Linked DNA regions of Lonchura striata. Each later gene encodes a partner of the first gene's protein in a complex. Links are inferred from orthologs where the notes say so. Each region holds a gene or a part of one and is shown on either strand. Other genes may lie near its edges.

Evidence for each region.
Region 2: the proteins of CSF1R (region 1) and CSF1 are in contact, whole or in part, in a crystal structure (PDB 3EJJ), measured with the Mus musculus proteins. The link is inferred for Lonchura striata from reciprocal best matches to the Homo sapiens genes CSF1R and CSF1. Residues at the interface, in NP_001032948.2 of Mus musculus: Arg142, Arg146, Leu149, Arg150, Lys151, Lys168, Val169, Leu170, Ser172, Asn173, Val231, Gly232, Phe233, Leu248, Ser250, Asp251, Phe252, Asp254, Asn255, Tyr257, Lys259; in NP_001107002.1 of Mus musculus: His38, His41, Met42, Gly44, Asn45, Gly46, His47, Phe87, Gln90, Asp91, Asp94, Arg98, Asp101, Glu110, Arg111, Gln113, Glu114, Leu115, Asn117.

What each region holds. Positions count from the first base shown.
Region 1 is NC_134617.1:6,469,379-6,477,382, reverse strand, and holds the start of CSF1R (macrophage colony-stimulating factor 1 receptor), read right to left. Parts: upstream 3,064-8,004; 5' UTR 2,922-3,063; coding exon 2,873-2,921; intron 1-2,872. UniProt on the Homo sapiens protein: Tyrosine-protein kinase that acts as a cell-surface receptor for CSF1 and IL34 and plays an essential role in the regulation of survival, proliferation and differentiation of hematopoietic precursor cells, especially mononuclear phagocytes, such as macrophages and monocytes.
Region 2 is NC_134632.1:1,180,426-1,188,519, forward strand, and holds the start of CSF1 (macrophage colony-stimulating factor 1), read left to right. Parts: upstream 1-5,088; 5' UTR 5,089-5,148; coding exon 5,149-5,169; intron 5,170-6,401; coding exon 6,402-6,530; intron 6,531-8,094. UniProt on the Homo sapiens protein: Cytokine that plays an essential role in the regulation of survival, proliferation and differentiation of hematopoietic precursor cells, especially mononuclear phagocytes, such as macrophages and monocytes.

The DNA of each region.
Region 1 (8,004 bases):
ACTTTTATCTTTCTGTGGAAAGAGAAGAAGCCCAGAGTGTAGAAAAACATATCCCAGAATAATTTACAAAGCTATATTTTCCACATATCTGAGGCAAAACATTCCTCCCTTTTTGCTAAGCTGTGCTTTCTAGTGGGGTTTGATATTTCTGTTGCTTTAACTTTTTGTTTCTAGATTCTTTTCCCTCACCTACTCTCTGCTTTGGCTATCCATCCACATCCAGGGCTTTGGCACCATTTCATGGGGAAAATGACTCTTTTTGCAGGAGGACAAGGGAAGAAAACAAAATGAACAGGAGTCATCTGTGTTGTCACCAGCTTACAGGTACTACTGAGATGCTGTGGCCAGAAAAGGCTCTGGGGAGGTGCTCTTCAGAACAGTGAGGGAAAAGCCTTCAGGCTGTCACTAGAGACTCACAGCAACAATACAAGCACCACACAAGTGGAGGGAGGACAGACAAGAGAGGGACACCAAATGCAGGACAAGATGAGGTGAAGGTCACCTAAGCACCCATTCCTTCATGTGTGCTGGGGGATGGGTCAGAGCAGTGGGTCCTTTTCCAGAATGGGGAAGCAGGGCTGCTGGGGGAGGCTGTCTCCCTGCTGACCACTGTGCAATCTTGCACGAAGCCCAGGGATGTCTCTTCTGCTCTCCAGCAGCTTCCGCAGCACTGCCAGTAACTGCTGGCCAGAGGTTTTACCACATTTGGGTTGTGTAACCAAACCTCTCCTTACAGCTGCAGGCTCTGTCCCTGCCTCTCCTATGCCAGCCAAAACACTGCTTTCCTCTGCTGAGCATTTGGTGAGGAAGGAGAAGTGAAGGCTGGTACGACAGAAGTGTCCAGGATCCTCACCACAGAACCCAGCCACCAGGATTTTGAGTGAGCTCTGGGGAGTAACTAGGCTAAGGTCCAGTCCTGAGAGAAACCCATACCAGACCTGAGCTCCCTTTGTCCCACCCTCAATGACAGCAAGGAAAAGTTTGATTTCTGAGGACTCCTTCCCCAAAGTCACCTACAGTGTCTGGGGAACCAGGGATGGAGAAAAGTGTGCTCATCACAGCTGGAGCTTCTACCTCAGAGGTTTAGATTGACCACAATAAGAAAACAAAATCCCCAGGAATACATCTCAAGATGGCCAAGAACACAGATGCAAGATGATCAAGTTTAAAACATTTCCTCTGCTTGATCTGAGCCCCTTTCCCTCCCTCAGCAAGAGCCCAGATCACAACGATCACATTCCATCAGCCCTGGGTACTCAAGAAGATGCACTTGCAATCTAAGAGGTGGGAGAAGGAAGTCAGGCTCTGAATCCAGCTGGAGGCTATTTCTTTGGGGCAGCTTTGTGCTGCAAATGGCCAGCAGTGCTGGTACTCACACAAATGTGTGTCCTACAGCCTACATGGCAGACAGTGCCTCTTGAAGATGTGTATTCATGAAGAAGTGCCTCATGAGCTGGTGATCTGGCACTGGCCAGTGGCTCAAGGAACCTTTGGAGAGATCCTAAAAGCTATGTTATGATCTCTCACAGATCTGCATTACACCTGCCTAGTCCCTATTATCATAAAAAACCACAAGAAATTAAAAACCCTGAATCTTTCACAACCCAGTTCACAGCACAGCAGATCTAGAAAATTATGCTCAACATGTTGCAAACATCACTTGAAGTGAAACAAGTGAGAGGGATGCAAATTTCCTGGGCTGAAAACAGGAGCGCTGCAGTGGCCCAAGAAGGATTTGCTGCCCACCTGCCCCATGCTAAATGCTTTCCCCACAGGTTGTCCTCTTCCAAGGAAGACTTCACACCACAGTCTCACTGTGTTCCCAAGTATGCTCAAAAGGAATATTAAGGTGAGTGCCACACAGGACCTGAGAGGTTCCCAGCACTTCAAAATGCAAGATTAGTAATACTGGTTACCACCACTTTGGTTGTAAACCTCAAAACAGGCTTAGTGACCCTTTTTTGAGGTTGGTGGGTTATCACTTCTTGGTCATCTCTGCAGCCTCAAAAAACAGGCGTGTTCACCTTTCCCTTCTTGGCTGGCTGAGTTATTTCCATCACATCCTGGCTCTACAGCCCTGTTGTGTGTGCCAGCACCACCAGAAACCAGCAATCCTCAGACACTCCAGCTGGGCATGAGGTGCTTTGGAAGGTGCCAGTGCACCTGATTTTCCTGACTCCTTCACCTGCAGACCAAACATCTCCAGCTCCATCCCCATTTGAGCAAAGTTTTATTTTGGAAAGAGCTTCCCTCAGGACACAGTTGCTGCTGAACCATTCTTTCATCTTAAACCCTGTCCAGACCCAAAGAGTGGGAAGTTTCCCTTTCCCATCTCCCCACAGCCAAGGCTCTGCCTATGCTACATGTACCTCTCCATCCTCCTTGGCCTTACCTTGGCAGGGCTGCTGGCAGCCAAGAGCAAGCCAGGCTCCAGACCAGCAATACACCTTTCCCTCTTTCCACCACTGCCCTCTCTAATTGCAGCCAGCTCTGGATGACCTTCAGAAAGCTGCTCCAGCCAAGCCTGCAGAGAATTCCAGTGCTGGTGTCTTCCCTGCAGTGCCTCAGAGCACACACATTCTGCCTACCCATGCCAAGGACCCTTGAACCTGCTCACAGCAGTGTCCACTTCATGCAGCAGCAAGCAGGGACCATCCCAGCCCACAGCAGCCTTTTGGGACACAGGACTGGGAGCCCAGCTTCACCCTCCACCTCCAGGAGCTGCGTGTCTGTTAATCCACCTTCAGCACAGCCCCGTCCCCACCAAGGCCATCACCCCTCCTCACCCGAGAGGGAATGGAGCACTCAGAGCAGGAAACCCTCACGCATCCCAAAACTCCCCAGAGTGATGTGGGGCTTTGGGAGCACTTACCATGCCAGCAGCCAGCTGTGGTGAGCAGCAGGAGGAGAGCAGGACCCATGTCCCCAGGGACCGTGGTGTCCCCAGCGTGGAGCCGATGCTGCTGAAGGATCCTCTCAAGCAGTGGGTGCCTCTTCTCGTGGCCACCGTCCCCAGAGCTCCCTTGGCAGGAGCTTCTCCTTTCTGAGCTGACCACAAGTTAACAAATTCCCTATTTTGTTTGTTTTTGAAACAGGGGGAAAAAACCCAGGCCGTGCTTTGTCACGTCACCAGTGACAAATCCCATGGCAGAGGTGGGGCCACGTGCACACCCTGCTGCAGGGTCCCCCTTTTTTGGGATCCCCTCAGGTCTCAGAGAGGAGTCCATCCCCAGACTGGCAGGGGCCACTGCACCATGCTGGGGTTTGGGATAATCCTGATGTTCTTTGGCTTCTGCCACTCTAATCCCCAGGGACATTTATACACTTTTGCCTCACATGGGGACACAAAGTGTCCCCACACTTGCAGGTCCTGGATTCCATTTTATTTCAGCAGGACAAGTTCCACCTCAGGCCCAGTGGCTCTTGCTGGCTTTGGGACCTGAGGACATGGCAGGTTCCTCACAGCAGGCCCACAAAGGCAATTCAGCCCAGGGCAGCTCCCAGGTGGGAAAAAGCCTGTGAAGGTGCCAAATTATTTTGTGTTAACCAAAAGTGTGATCCTTGGTGCACAGAGGGATCCTGTGGCCACACAGGATCATCCCAAGCTCCATGCCAGCTTCACCACCCTCCCTGGCAGGGAGACGTGTTGGAGTCCTGCTTGCAGACCCCTTCTGGCTGGGCTGGGGGCACATGGGGACCCCTGCTCTTTCCTGTCCCAGTAGCTCCAAGCCTGGGGCTCAGAGTGACCCTGTCAGCACCAGGCAGGGCTCGAGCACAGACCCTTCCTCCCCAGGAGCCCATCCCACCCAGCCATCCTGCCTTGCTGGTGGGGAGGCTGCTTGGAGCTGGTCTGTAATGATAACCTGGTAGGCACCTTGAAGCAGTAATTAAACTAATTAGCTAATTAGCAGTGCTAGTAATTAATACATCAGATACTCTGTTAACCCTCCACTGGACTGTGGGTCTTCCAAAAGAGGTGTGAGGGAAGGCTCGAAGTCAGCCAGTTCTCCCAGGGACACGGAGTCAGCAGGATTAGCAGATCCTGTCAGACACAGGGCGCCCCTTGCTCCCTGCTCTGCCTCTGGATAACCTCACACTGCAGCAGAAGTTCAGGGCTCTTCACAGCAGCTCTGGGGTGGGAAGTGACAGCCACCACCTGACAGCACTGGGAAGGGAGCACAGGGGAGGAAGGTCCAGCCAGGGGCTCTGCTGCCCCAGCAGCAGCCCCAACAGCAGGAGGTGACAGGAACCCCACGACAAACCATGGGCAGAAAGAGAAGGCTTGTTCCAAAATATCTGCAGAGGTGGCTGTTGAATCTGCACCTGCAGTGCCCTGAAAGCCTCCACAGCCTGGAGGGGAATGGGCTTCTCCAAAGGGGGCAGTCAGAGAGGTACCAGCAAGACCAGGCCCTGGGGCCAAGGGATGAAAGCATGGCTGACTGTGCTGGAGATGACTAAGAGTCATGGGAACGTGGAGAGCTCTTGGTTTTGGCCAGAAGGATGGCTGGAGAGCCTGAGGGAGTCCAGAGAGAAGGAAAAGCAGTTTTTGGCCAAAGAACGTTTCCCCTCAGCAGTTTTTCCTGGCAGGATAGGGAAGAAGAACATGAATTAGAGGCAGCACGGTGCTCTGGGGGGCTCCTGCCCAGAGCTGGGGTTGTCAAGCAGCTGGGCCACAGGAGGTGTCTGCTTGATTATTCTTTCCTCCTTTCGAGCCAAAGGGGCTTTTTAAAGGATGTTTGTTTCCCTCCTTCTTCTTTTTAAAGCTTTTTTTTCTTTTTCCAGGAACAAATGCCAACTCAGAGAGAACTGACTCACCAATGTGAGTAAGTATTAAACCAGACAGGTTTAATAGAGAGAAGGGAAACAATCTCTCAACCTTCCTTCTTCTCTTTGAGGGGGCCCCTTGCACAGCATCTCTGCTGGCAGTGATCCCCAGGTGACAGCTTGGATTGGGCACACCTGGGGATGCTCACTGGGACAAGCTTGGGGTCTCTCCCCTTTTTGTGTCCCTATCTTCCTCCTGCACCCCAAATCTTATGTGCAAGCAGCAGCTCAGCCACAGGAGTGCTGCTGGAACTCAGGTACCCAGGCAGCTCTGAGCACAGGGCAGGGATGCTTCCAGAGAAGCTGCAACCTTACTTTGAACAACCTGATGCCCAGGAATATCTGTAGAGGCCCTGATGGTTGTGAAAGATGGGATTGCTCAGTGCCTGGTGGATGGCTGGGGAAGGGGGAATGGAGGCTGCCGAGAGCCCTGGTTGGGAGCACTGGGAGCTCAGTTGTTTCCCAGGCTGGGAGCCCTGTGGGACCCCAGCACTGAGCACAGCTGGCCATGGTGCCATGCCTGCCTGAATTGCCCTGCAGCACTTTGGGGACACACGTGGAACACCTGTGTCCTGTTGGTACTGAGCTGTTGGTACCCCACAGCTCCAGAGTTTGTCACTGCAGTCTCTCTGCTTCTCTGAGCTCCCCCATGGGGTATCTGTCTCATCATTGGAGAGGAGACTTGTTTTGGGGTGGGGAAATACCCTGCTGGGGGTCCCCATGTTGGCCTGCTCACTTCCAGCCCCAGGACTCCACTCCAGCACATCCTGACATGCACAAGGTAGGGATCAGTGAGAGCCTGCAGGGTTCAGGGCTGAGGTCTGTCTCCCCCTCTGCTTCTCCCCAGGCCTTTGATGCAGCCTCTCTGGACACAAGGGGTTCTTTTTCTCCCTGCTGATTCAGCTCCTGGAGAAAAATGCCCTGACTGAGCCGTGCCAGGTGACTCAGAGCATATCTGGGGAGAATCAGCCTGAGCTGGTCAGGGAGGCTGCAAACCTCCACTCTGGAAAAACCAGCAAAGGCTCACCCAGGACAGGCTGTGCTGGAAAGGGGAGCCTTGCTGGGACTTGGACATGCTTGCTGCTGCACTCCATGCCTTGGACCTCTGGGTACACAGAGAATTTCCAGGAGCTGAGGGAGGCACAACTGTTGCCAGTGGGGGCTTCATCATGTAGCCAGAAAACAGGGTCAACACTGATATGATTTAACCAAAAACCCCTCTTTGCAGCAACCTTGGGCTTTCCAAGCACATGGCTCAGAGCAGGTGCAAACATCTCTGTTCTGCAGCTGGAGATGGATTTTGGAGGAGCAGTTAAATTTGAGCTAGAGAGAGGAGAAAACTCAAAAAAGATATCTCTCATGTGGCTGGGGGACCTCAGTGACTCTGGAAAGGTGACTGGGAAAGGTGATAGGAGCAGAATGACACGTGGATCTGAGGGAGTGCTGGTGTGGGGAGCCAGGATTTTGGAGGTGCAGCTTTTGAGGGTATCAGCGAACTCCTCATCCTAGAGGGAAGGGAGGAGAGCTGGCATGGGGAGCCCTGTGTGCTGCAGTGTGGCTCCTGCTGGTGCCCTGCCCTGTTGCTGTCTCCAGGCCCTCCCAGTGCCCTGAGCTGTTAAACTACATGGAAAAATCAGTGCTGTGGTGTCTGCCATCTCCTTCAGCCCAGCCACTGTTCAGTCTGTCATTTCTCCTGCATCCCCACCCTGATCTGAGCACAGACCCAGCAATGCTCCAAGGGGCCAAGTCCTTAGCAGGGAGTGCTGGCCCAAACCCCAGGCAGTGGGATACACATGGGCATAATTCCTGATATCCTTCCCTCTACCCACATGTCCCACATGCTGCACAGTCACCAGAGATGGGGCAGATCCTGCCTCTTTTCCTTACCCTGTCTCTGGGCTCAGCTGCTCCTTGCAGTGCTTCTCCCTGCCTGGCTCCCAGCTTGGCTTTCACTAAGCACTGGGGTCACGCACAGCGTATTAACATGCTTACCCTTCACCCACCACAGGGTTAAGCTGTATTGCCAGCCCCATCTGAGTGGGAGCAACCAAAAGCAGGCAAATAAAGGAAGAGATGGGACTTTGCAAAATGAAAAACACCTTTATTTTTAAACTCCTTCTTTAAAAATGTATTTGTAAAAGTTTACAGCATAAAAATATCTCATGGCTATAAATGTGACATAGTACAAATCCTACAAATACAACTGTAAACCTAGAAAAGTGTTAACTCTTTGGTACCTTAGTCTGAACTCTGTTTTTTCCTTTGCCCTCATGCTGATTTGGACAGAGAGCATGGAGATAGGTGCTGCTGCTGTTCAGAAGGGCTGCAGAGAAACAGTGTGATGTCAGCACAGCAGATGGAGAGAGGGCACACTTTGGGCAAGATTTGCAGTTCTGGTGCAATCAGTCCATGAAGGAGGAAAAGAGGAATGATGGGACACTGCAGGCCTCCCAGCACAAGCTGCCTTCCCTGCCTCCTCCCACCCCAGGCAAGAGTCATCTCTCCAAAGTGCTCCTGGAGCAGTTCCCCTGCCTTTGCCAAAGCAAACCAGATCCACTTTGGCATTTCCCAGGGGCCTCAGGTGTCCAGGTGAAACGTGGGAATTATGCTGGCAGCCCAGCAACCTGTGTGCTGGCCTATGAAACCTTACTCTTAGCAATATCTGGCCTGCTTTGGGCAAGTCCTGCAGGTGGCATGGTGCCTCCACTGTTACAGTCAGCACTGGCCACTGAGCATCCAGGCAGGGCTGGGATCTGCTGCAGGAATCACCTGGAGCTGCCCAGTGCTCAGGGGGGACCTGCAGCTGCCCTGGCTGCTCTCTGCCTGGCAACCACCCACGGCAAAGGCTGCCAGAAGGTTCCTGAGGGCCACCAAAGGGCAGCCTCTGTGTTCTCCAGGTGGGAGCACAACCAGGCTGCATCCAGGCTCCCTGATCATCCTGGAACCTGAGCTGAGCATCGAGCCCAAGCACGGCTCTTCCTTGCACTTGTGTGTTGGAACAGGGGGTTTGTCCTTTAGCATTCTGTGAAATCCCCTTCTCCAGATCTGCCAGCTCTGCACAGAGCTTGGGCTTCCTCACAGGCAAACCCTGAGTGCTGGGCACCCTGTACTTGTGGTGCTGTCTCTCCCCCCCAGCCCAAGCCCTGTCTGGGAAGAAAGAGAAGAGCTGCTTCTCACTTC
Region 2 (8,094 bases), on another chromosome or scaffold:
ACTCCACTCCAGCCCCGTGCCGGGGGGTGGCACAGGGCTGTCACCCCACAGCCTGCAGCCGGACATGTGTGGGGGTCACATTTGGGGAGTTAAAGTGGGATTTGGTCCCTCGGACACGTGCTGAGGTCAGGGGCAGTGTTGAGTGTCCATCACACGGTCTGAGGGCATCCCAGGAAGGGTTTGGCACGTTTGGATGTCACCTTGCTCCTGGCCATGGTGACAGGAAGCACCAGGCGGTGCTGAGGCCTGCCTGCCCTGGGGCATTCCCAAGCTGTTTTCCAAGCTGCCCCCGCTTGTGCCCAGCTGCTCCTGGCACAGCCCTGCAGCCCCAGCCATGGGTCAGGACTGTCCTGGCTGAGCCGGAGGGTGCCAGGGCTGCCCCCACACTGCGCTGTGCCGTGAGCTCGGGGGATGCCCAGCAGGAACGGGACACGCTGGGCGCTGTGGCCCTGCAGCAGCCTCCTACAGGGTGTGCTGGGGATGCTGGGGAGAGCATGAGCACAGGGACATTGCCCCGGGGTGGGCATCGTCCTCTTGCCACCCTGAAACCACAGCTGGTGACACCTCCTACCTCCCCCAGGCTCTGTGGGTGCCCGTGGGCAGCTGCCTGGGAAGGTTTTTGGCTCTGGCCCTGCCACATTCCTTGGTGGAGGGAGGAGTGGAGCTGGAGCCTGACACGACTCAGCCACAGCCACCAGGACTGGGGACACGCCGGTGACCCGCGCGGGGCTGTCACCTGCCTTTTGTCCCTTGTCACCACCTGGCATCCCCCCTGGCACGGACACCCCTCCCTGACCCCGGGGCTGGGCTTTATCTGTGCCCAAGGACCCCCGAGCACGCGCTGGGGTGGTGGGAGGTCTCTGTGGTGGGGAGCCCGGGTCATGGTAACTCTGAGGAGGGACGGCCCCAGCCTGACCCTGCGGCTCCCTGGCTCCCGGCCCGGCTGAACTCCCTGCCCAGGGCTCTGCTCCCATGGGTGCTGCCCCTGCGGCCAGGGGCTGCTGCTGGGGCAAGCCTGAGATCCCCCCGCTGCTGGGAGCTGGGTGGGATGTCCCAGTGTCCCCTAGGGTGTCCCAGTGTCCCTTAGGGTGTTCCTGTGTCCCTTAGGGTGTTCCTGTGTCCCCTAGGATGTTCCTGTGTCCCCTAGGATGTTCCTGTGCCCCTTAGAGTGTTCCTGTGCCCCTTAGAGTGTTCCTGTGTCCCCTAGGGTGTCCCAGTGTCCCTTAGGGTGTTCCTGTGTCCCTTAGGGTGTTCCTATGTCCCCTAGGATGTTCCTGTGTCCCCTAGGTTGTTCCTGTGCCCTTTAGAGTGTTCCTGTGTCCTTTAGGATGTTCCTGTGTCCCCTAGGGTGTCCCAGTGTCCCCTAGGGTGTTCCTGTGCCCCTTAGAATGTTCCTGTGCCCCTTAGAGTGTTCCTGTGTCCCCTAGGGTGTCCCAGTGTCCCTTAGGGTGTTCCTGTGTCCCTTAGGGTGTTCCTGTGCCCCTTAGAGTGTTCCTGTGTCCCCTAGGATGTTCCTGTGCCCCTTAGAGTGTTCCTGTGTCCCCTAGGATGTCCCAGTATCCCCTGGGATGTTTCTGTGTCCCCTAGGATGTCCCTGTGTCCCTTAGGGTGTTCCTGTGTCCCTTAGGGTGTCCCAGTGTCCCCTAGAGCGTCCCAGTGTCCCCGTGTGGAGGGCTGGAGGAGGGGAAGTGGGAGATTTGCTGCGGGATGAAGGCTCCAGCCCCATCACGGCATCCTGAGTCCCCCCTGCTGGCAGCGGGCTGGGGGGACGTGCCTTCCAACCCACATTCCTCCGCTCCTGAAGGAACTGTCCCGGGACCTTCCCACGGGGATTTCCAGCCCGGGCACACATCGCTGCAGCCTGGATTGTGCCGGTGGGATCCTGGCTCAGCTGCAGCACCAGGAGGCTGTGGGACAGCATCCTGGCCTGGCCCTGCGCTGAATCACCGGGAAGGAACTGATTAAGACCTTGCAACACTTTCGTGCTGGAAATAACTTTCTCCAGAGAGGCAGCCCGAGGCTGGCTCTAGGATGCAGCTGGAGGGATTGGATATGCCACAGGTTTTAGCCCTGCTTTGGGGCTCGTTGGCTGGAAAAAGCTTCCCGAAATGAGGGGTTGGTTGGGATGTGCTCTCACTCCCATGGGGAGGTGGGAAGAGAGGGAATTGAGGTCCAGGGAAGCTCCAGCCTTGGCCACGGTGGAGATGTGGCTGCATGGGGGTGGTGCTGGTGTCTGCTCCAGACCCTTTGGAACAGGGACCATCCTGCCCCCTTGCTCCAGCCCTGCATCCTTCCGTGCTGGGCAGCAGCCGTGGGCACCCTGGGGTGCCCAGGAAGCCCTCCAGCCTCCTCCCACCTTTCCCCCTTGGCTGACAGTGGCTCTGGGGGGAGAGGAGCAACTCCTGCACAGCACCAGCGTGGTGACAGTGCCATTGGTCCCAGTTTGCCACTGGGAGAGGGACAACCACCCTAAATTTTGCCTCCCCGGTTTTTCTGGCTACAGTGTGCACACGGAGCTGCTGCCACCTCTGCCACCAGCCCCATTTCTGCCCCGTGACTCAGGGATTTCGGCAGGTTTGGGAAGGGAGGAGGGGCAAAAGCCACTTCCCTGCCAAAAACAAAAGAGGCGGATGCTGCTCTCGCCCTGTGTCAGGCATGAGGCAGATTAATATTAACCCGTCCCTCCATCCTGCCGTCCCTCTGTCCTGCCCTCCTTCTGCCCCTGGCCCGCTGCCCCACAGCTTGTCCCATGACCCAGCATATGACACTTTTCCTGTCCCTTCAAAGCAGAGGGCAATGAGTGTGCGGGACATGAGCAGCCCGTGGCCTCAGCCGGTGTGAAAGGGCCTCATGTGCTGCCACGGGGTCCCCGTGAGTCACCCCTGGTGCTGGCGTCACCCGCCGTGTCCCCGGCGTCCACCCCGGTGTCCTCCCAGCGCGGGGGCTGCGAGGCTCCCAGAATAGCTTGTGATGAAAAATGTCTCAGCGTTTTGGGGAGAAAGGGGTTATTTTGGGAGGACAGCTGATTTCTAAACCTGATTTCTACTCCTTCCCCAGCCTGTCACCCTCAGCACCCTCAGATGTTTATCTGCTGCTGTTGCTAAGGGACACTGAGGGTGACAAGAGCTGGGGCACCCATGTGCTGGTGCAAATCTGACGCTATCTTGGGGCTGTCACTGCTGTCCCCAACTCCAGCTGCTTCCCAACTCTTCCCCGTCTCTTCCAGCAGATCACTGATCCCAACCCATCACTACTGGAATGAGCTCTCAGCTCCAGGAAAACCCCTCAGCAGCTTCTGCAAGCCCAGCAGGGTTTCCGGCCCTGGGGAGCAGATCCCGCTGGCCCCTCGGAAGCTCGGATGTGGTGGCTGTCACCCACACTTGGCCCCATTGTCACCATCCCCTCTTGCAGCCACATGCCAGTGTTTGTGGAGCAGTTTGCTTTCGGTTTCCTGTCAGAATGCCGAGTGCTTGGCACCGCCGTGGATCACCTCGTGGCCACTAATCACTTCCAGTCGCCTGGAAAGCAAACAGGCAGCGGAGAGGAAAATCCCATGTTGCATGGCTGTGCTGGGCCCGGATCCAGCCCCTCACAGATCCCTGTGCACGGATCTGCACCTGTGCACATGGATCTGCTTGTGCACATGGGGACCCTCTGTGCACAAATAGACCATTCATGCACACGGGGATCCATCCATGCACACGTGGATCCATCCATGCACACGGGGATCCATCCATGCACACGTGGATCCATCCATGCACACGGGGATCCATCCATGCACACGTGGATCCATCCATGCCCATGGGAATCCATCCATGCACACATGGATCCATCCATGCACACATGGATCCATCCATGCCCATGGGAATCCATCCATGCACACGTGGATCCATCCATGCACACATGGATCCATCCATGCCCATGGGGAACCATCAATGCACACGTGGATCCATCCATGCCCATGGGGATCCATCCATACACACGTGGATCCATCCATGCACACGTGGATCCATCCATGCCCATGGGGATCCATCCATGCAAACATGGATCTCTCCATGCAAACATGGGTCTCTCCATGCATGTGTGGACCCATCCATGCCCCTGGATGTGTCTGTGCTCATGTGAACCCATCCATGCACACGGATTTGTCCATGTTCATGCAGATCTATCATGCACACGTATGCAGACATCTGTCCGTGCACATCCCTACCAGTGCATCTGCTTGTGCACGTACAGGTCCATCTGTGCAGATGGATCTGCCTGTGCACACGTGGGCTGATCAATGCTCATGGATCTGTCCATGCACATCCTTGCTGATGCATCCATCCCTGCATGCTCTGATGGGTGTCCATCATATGTGTGTCTGTGTGTGTGTGTGTGTGCCCAGGGATGAGCAAGCACACACGTGCAAGGCCCAGAGCTCTGTGCGTGCTCTGAGGGGTGTCCCTGCACATCCAGGGGGGTTGTGTTTATGTTCACACGGATAAAAGTGCCCAGGGGTGACCATACACACACACGGGGGTGTGAGCACACGTGCACGTTCCGAGGGGTCCCCGCGTGTGCACAGTTGTGTGTGTGCGTACACACACGTGCCAGGCTCAGGGCTGTGCGTGTGCCCGTGGCTACCGGCGCCCGGGGTGCCCGTGGCCACGCAGGGGTGGTGTCTGTCCGTGGCGCATCCACGCAGAGGTGTGCGTGCGCCCAGGTGAGCACACACGCGTGTGTTTGCGATAACGGGGGCTCACACACACGGGCCGAGCCGTGCCGAGCCGGTTCCGGGAAAGCCGAGCCGATCCCATCGCAACCGAGCGGCTCCAGCCCAACCCGAACGGCGCCGCTTCGACCCCAGCGGCGGCGAGTCCGAGCGACTGAACGGCCCCAGCGGTTCCGATGGGACCTGAGCGGTTCTGCCCGGAGCCGAGCCGTGCACACGGGAGCCGGCAGTGCCGCTCGGTGCCCTGCCGGTGCTGGCCCGGGCCGGGCCCCGCGGGGCCTGGCCGCCCGCCAGGGCTTTCTCATAAACCACATGCTGCCGCGGCGCTATAAAGGGGAGCGCGGCCGCGGCGGCGGCTCAGCCCGGCCCCGCTCGGCCCCGCCGCCGCTGCCGCCTCGCCCGCTCCGCCCGGCCCCGGTCCCACGGCAGCCCCCATGCCCCGCCTCGGAGCCAAGGTACGGCGGCCCCTCCCGCTCCCCGCGGCCGCGGAGACCCCCCCCAGCCCGGCGCCCGCCGCCACCTGTGCGGGGCCCCCGCGGGAGCGGCGGCCCCGCGTGTCCCCGTGCCCCGCGGTGGGTCCCGTCCCCCGGGGGTCCCGGCTCCCGCCGGGGGATGCTCCAGCCCCGCCTCGCTTGGCCGCGGCAGCCCCGCACCCGCGGGGTGAAGCCGCGGCTCCGGCCCCGGTTCCCGGTTCCCGGTTCCCGCCTCCAGCCCCGTTACGATTCCCAAACCGGGCGTGGGGAGGCCCCGGCCGGTCCCCGGCCCCAGCCCCGTCCCCGGCGGGGCGATGCTGCAGCCCCGGCTCCATTCCCGGACCTGCGCGATGAGGCGCCAGCCCCCGGCGCGGTTCCAGCCCCGGAGCCGCGGGGTGAAGCCCCGTCCCGGTCACCGACTCCAGCCCCGTTCCCGGCTCCAGCCCCGTCCCCAGCCCGTTCCCGGCGGGGTGAGGCTCCGTTCAGCCGTGACCACATCTCGGCGGTGGCCCGGGCGGCATCTTGGAGTTTCACAAGAGGGGAGGATTCCTGGATATCATCCAAGGGAAATTCCCCCCCACTCATCACCCAGGCACCCTGTCCCCTGCCGGTGCCCCGGGAGAGGGGTGCACACCCACCCGAGGGTCCCCTCCGCCCCCACCTCGGGAGTCTTGGCTCTGGATCAAGCCCCGTTTCTCACCGGGGTCCCGCCACGGATCGGGGCCTCCCCGCTTCTTTGCAGGGGGATTGGGAGGGAAATTTGGGACGAGGCCAGAGCTGCTGCATGGAAAGAGCCCGGCGGGTGCAGCTGGGGGGGTCTGGAGGGTGGGAAGAGGATTTTTTGGGGATGGGTGGGTCAGTGTGTCAGATGGGCTCTGGAGAGCCAGGGCGGAGGAGGAGATTTGCAGGAGAGACGGAGAAATGGTTCGGGAGAGGGGAGAGGGGCTGGATCGGGAATGTGGAGGTGGCCAAGGGCCACATTCAGGCGTGTGTCACCGGGCCTTGGGAAATTCCCTGCTGACCTGGAGCTCCTAAAAATAGCAGGATGGGGATAGGCACGGGGTTGGAGGAGCACAGTGGGATTATCCTGCTGGACCGTGGCCAAGTGCCGGCTCCCACAGAGGTGGTCATGCCGGGGGGTGGTGGAGATTGGCAGGGGGCTTGGCATGTGTGTGGCTTATCCCTGCTTCAAACTCTTCCTGTGCCGTGCTCAGGTGTGCCTGCTCCGCTGCTCCCTGCTGTCGTCCCTCCTCCTCCTGCTGCTCCGCATCCATGAGACGGAGCAGAACAGCTACTGCCAGCAGATCATCACAGAGAGGCACCTGGCCGAGCTGGAGGAGCTGGTGAGTGCCCTTCCGGGGCTGTGCCGTGGGATGGGGGCTCATGTGGCGCCAGATGGGCACAAAGCAGCTCTGTTTTAGTGCTGAAATAAGGAAATGGGGCGATCTTCAGCTCCCCTAGTGAAGTGACGGCACCCGGGAGCTGAGCATCCATGGGCACAAGGGACAAGTGGGCACCGCGGAGTGACAGATGTCGTGCCTTTATCAAGGGTGGCTATGGAAAAGTGACGACAGGAGGAGCGAGAGAAGGCGGCAGCAGGAGCGAGGCCGGGAAGGGGACAGGACTGAGGCTGGATGGGCGCAGGGCCGCTGGGGAAGCAGCGGAGGGGCGGCTCTGCGGGCTGTGGTGCTTTCCGGGCGGCCGCGCAGGGGTTAAGCAGAGGAATCCGGCTGCATTCCTGAGTCCAGCTGCTTGCCTGGAAGCTGGGCTGGCAACGGGGCTGTGGGTGGGTGGCAGGCGGCGAGGGGGGCCCGGCCGGCCGGTGGAGCCGACCGGGCTGGGCGATGGGGCCGTCGTCCCGTGTGGCCCGTGGGCAGCTCCGGGCGCCGGCGGCCGCCCCGCGGCACGGCCAGCCCCGGCCCGGCGGACACAGCTGCCGGGGCCGTATCTCTCTCTTCGTGGCCCTTGGCTCACCTCCGAGCGGGGAATCACGCGGATGTTCAGGGGAGAAGCGGGAATCGGGGGCACGCAGGGATTTGCAGGGTTGTCGCAGATTAAATTCTGCCTGCAGCAAGAGGGGTGTGCGGGCGAGAGACGGGAGCGGCGCCTCCGAGTCCCCGGGAGCTCCGCTCGGTGCAAACCGCCGCGTCCGGGCTCGCTTCACCTCTTCCTCTTTAACCACCGAGCTGCGGGGCCGGGAGCCGCTCTGGGCGAGCTCGGCTTCCTCTGCCCGAGCCCTCTCTGCACAACGCATCCCCCGAGGGATTAAAATTGGGTGCGCGGCTGTGGGAGGGAGGGAACGGAGCAGGTTTGAATGGACGATGTGGTTTTCCTGCTGGGGATTGCAGCCCTCTCCTCGCTGATGGAGGAGCTGGCCCTCGCTCCAGCGCCTGCAGGATAATGGAGCAATTGTTTCCGGGACGGCATCCCAGGCTAGGAGGAGAAATGCCGGCCGGCAATTCTGCCAGCCCTCGCCCTCCCAGCCGGGGATGCCAGCCCGGAGGGAGAGCGTTTGCTTAGGGTGGGTTTTTCCTCCCACTGGGGAGGGTGGTGGCGTGGGCGGCCGGCAGCGCTGCGGGTGGGACCCCGGCGTTGTGTGATCCCGGAGAACGTGTGACCCCGGTGTCACGGCCACCTCCTGCACGGCAGGATGCTCTTTTGCAGCCTGGATTTAGAGGAGAGAGTGATGCGGGGGAGACCCGAGGAGAATTAAGCGGGGCTGGGCTCCGCTGTGGCGCTGGCAGGAAGAGGAGGAGGAGGAGGAGGAGGAAGAGAGGCGGGGTGGGAGCAGGCAGGGAAAGGCAGGAGAAGGTCTGTGAATTGGGGAGTACAACATCCTGATGGGAGCAGGAATCCTGAGCTTACTCCTGCCACTGCATCAACCGTAGGGATGTGCCTGTGTGAGGA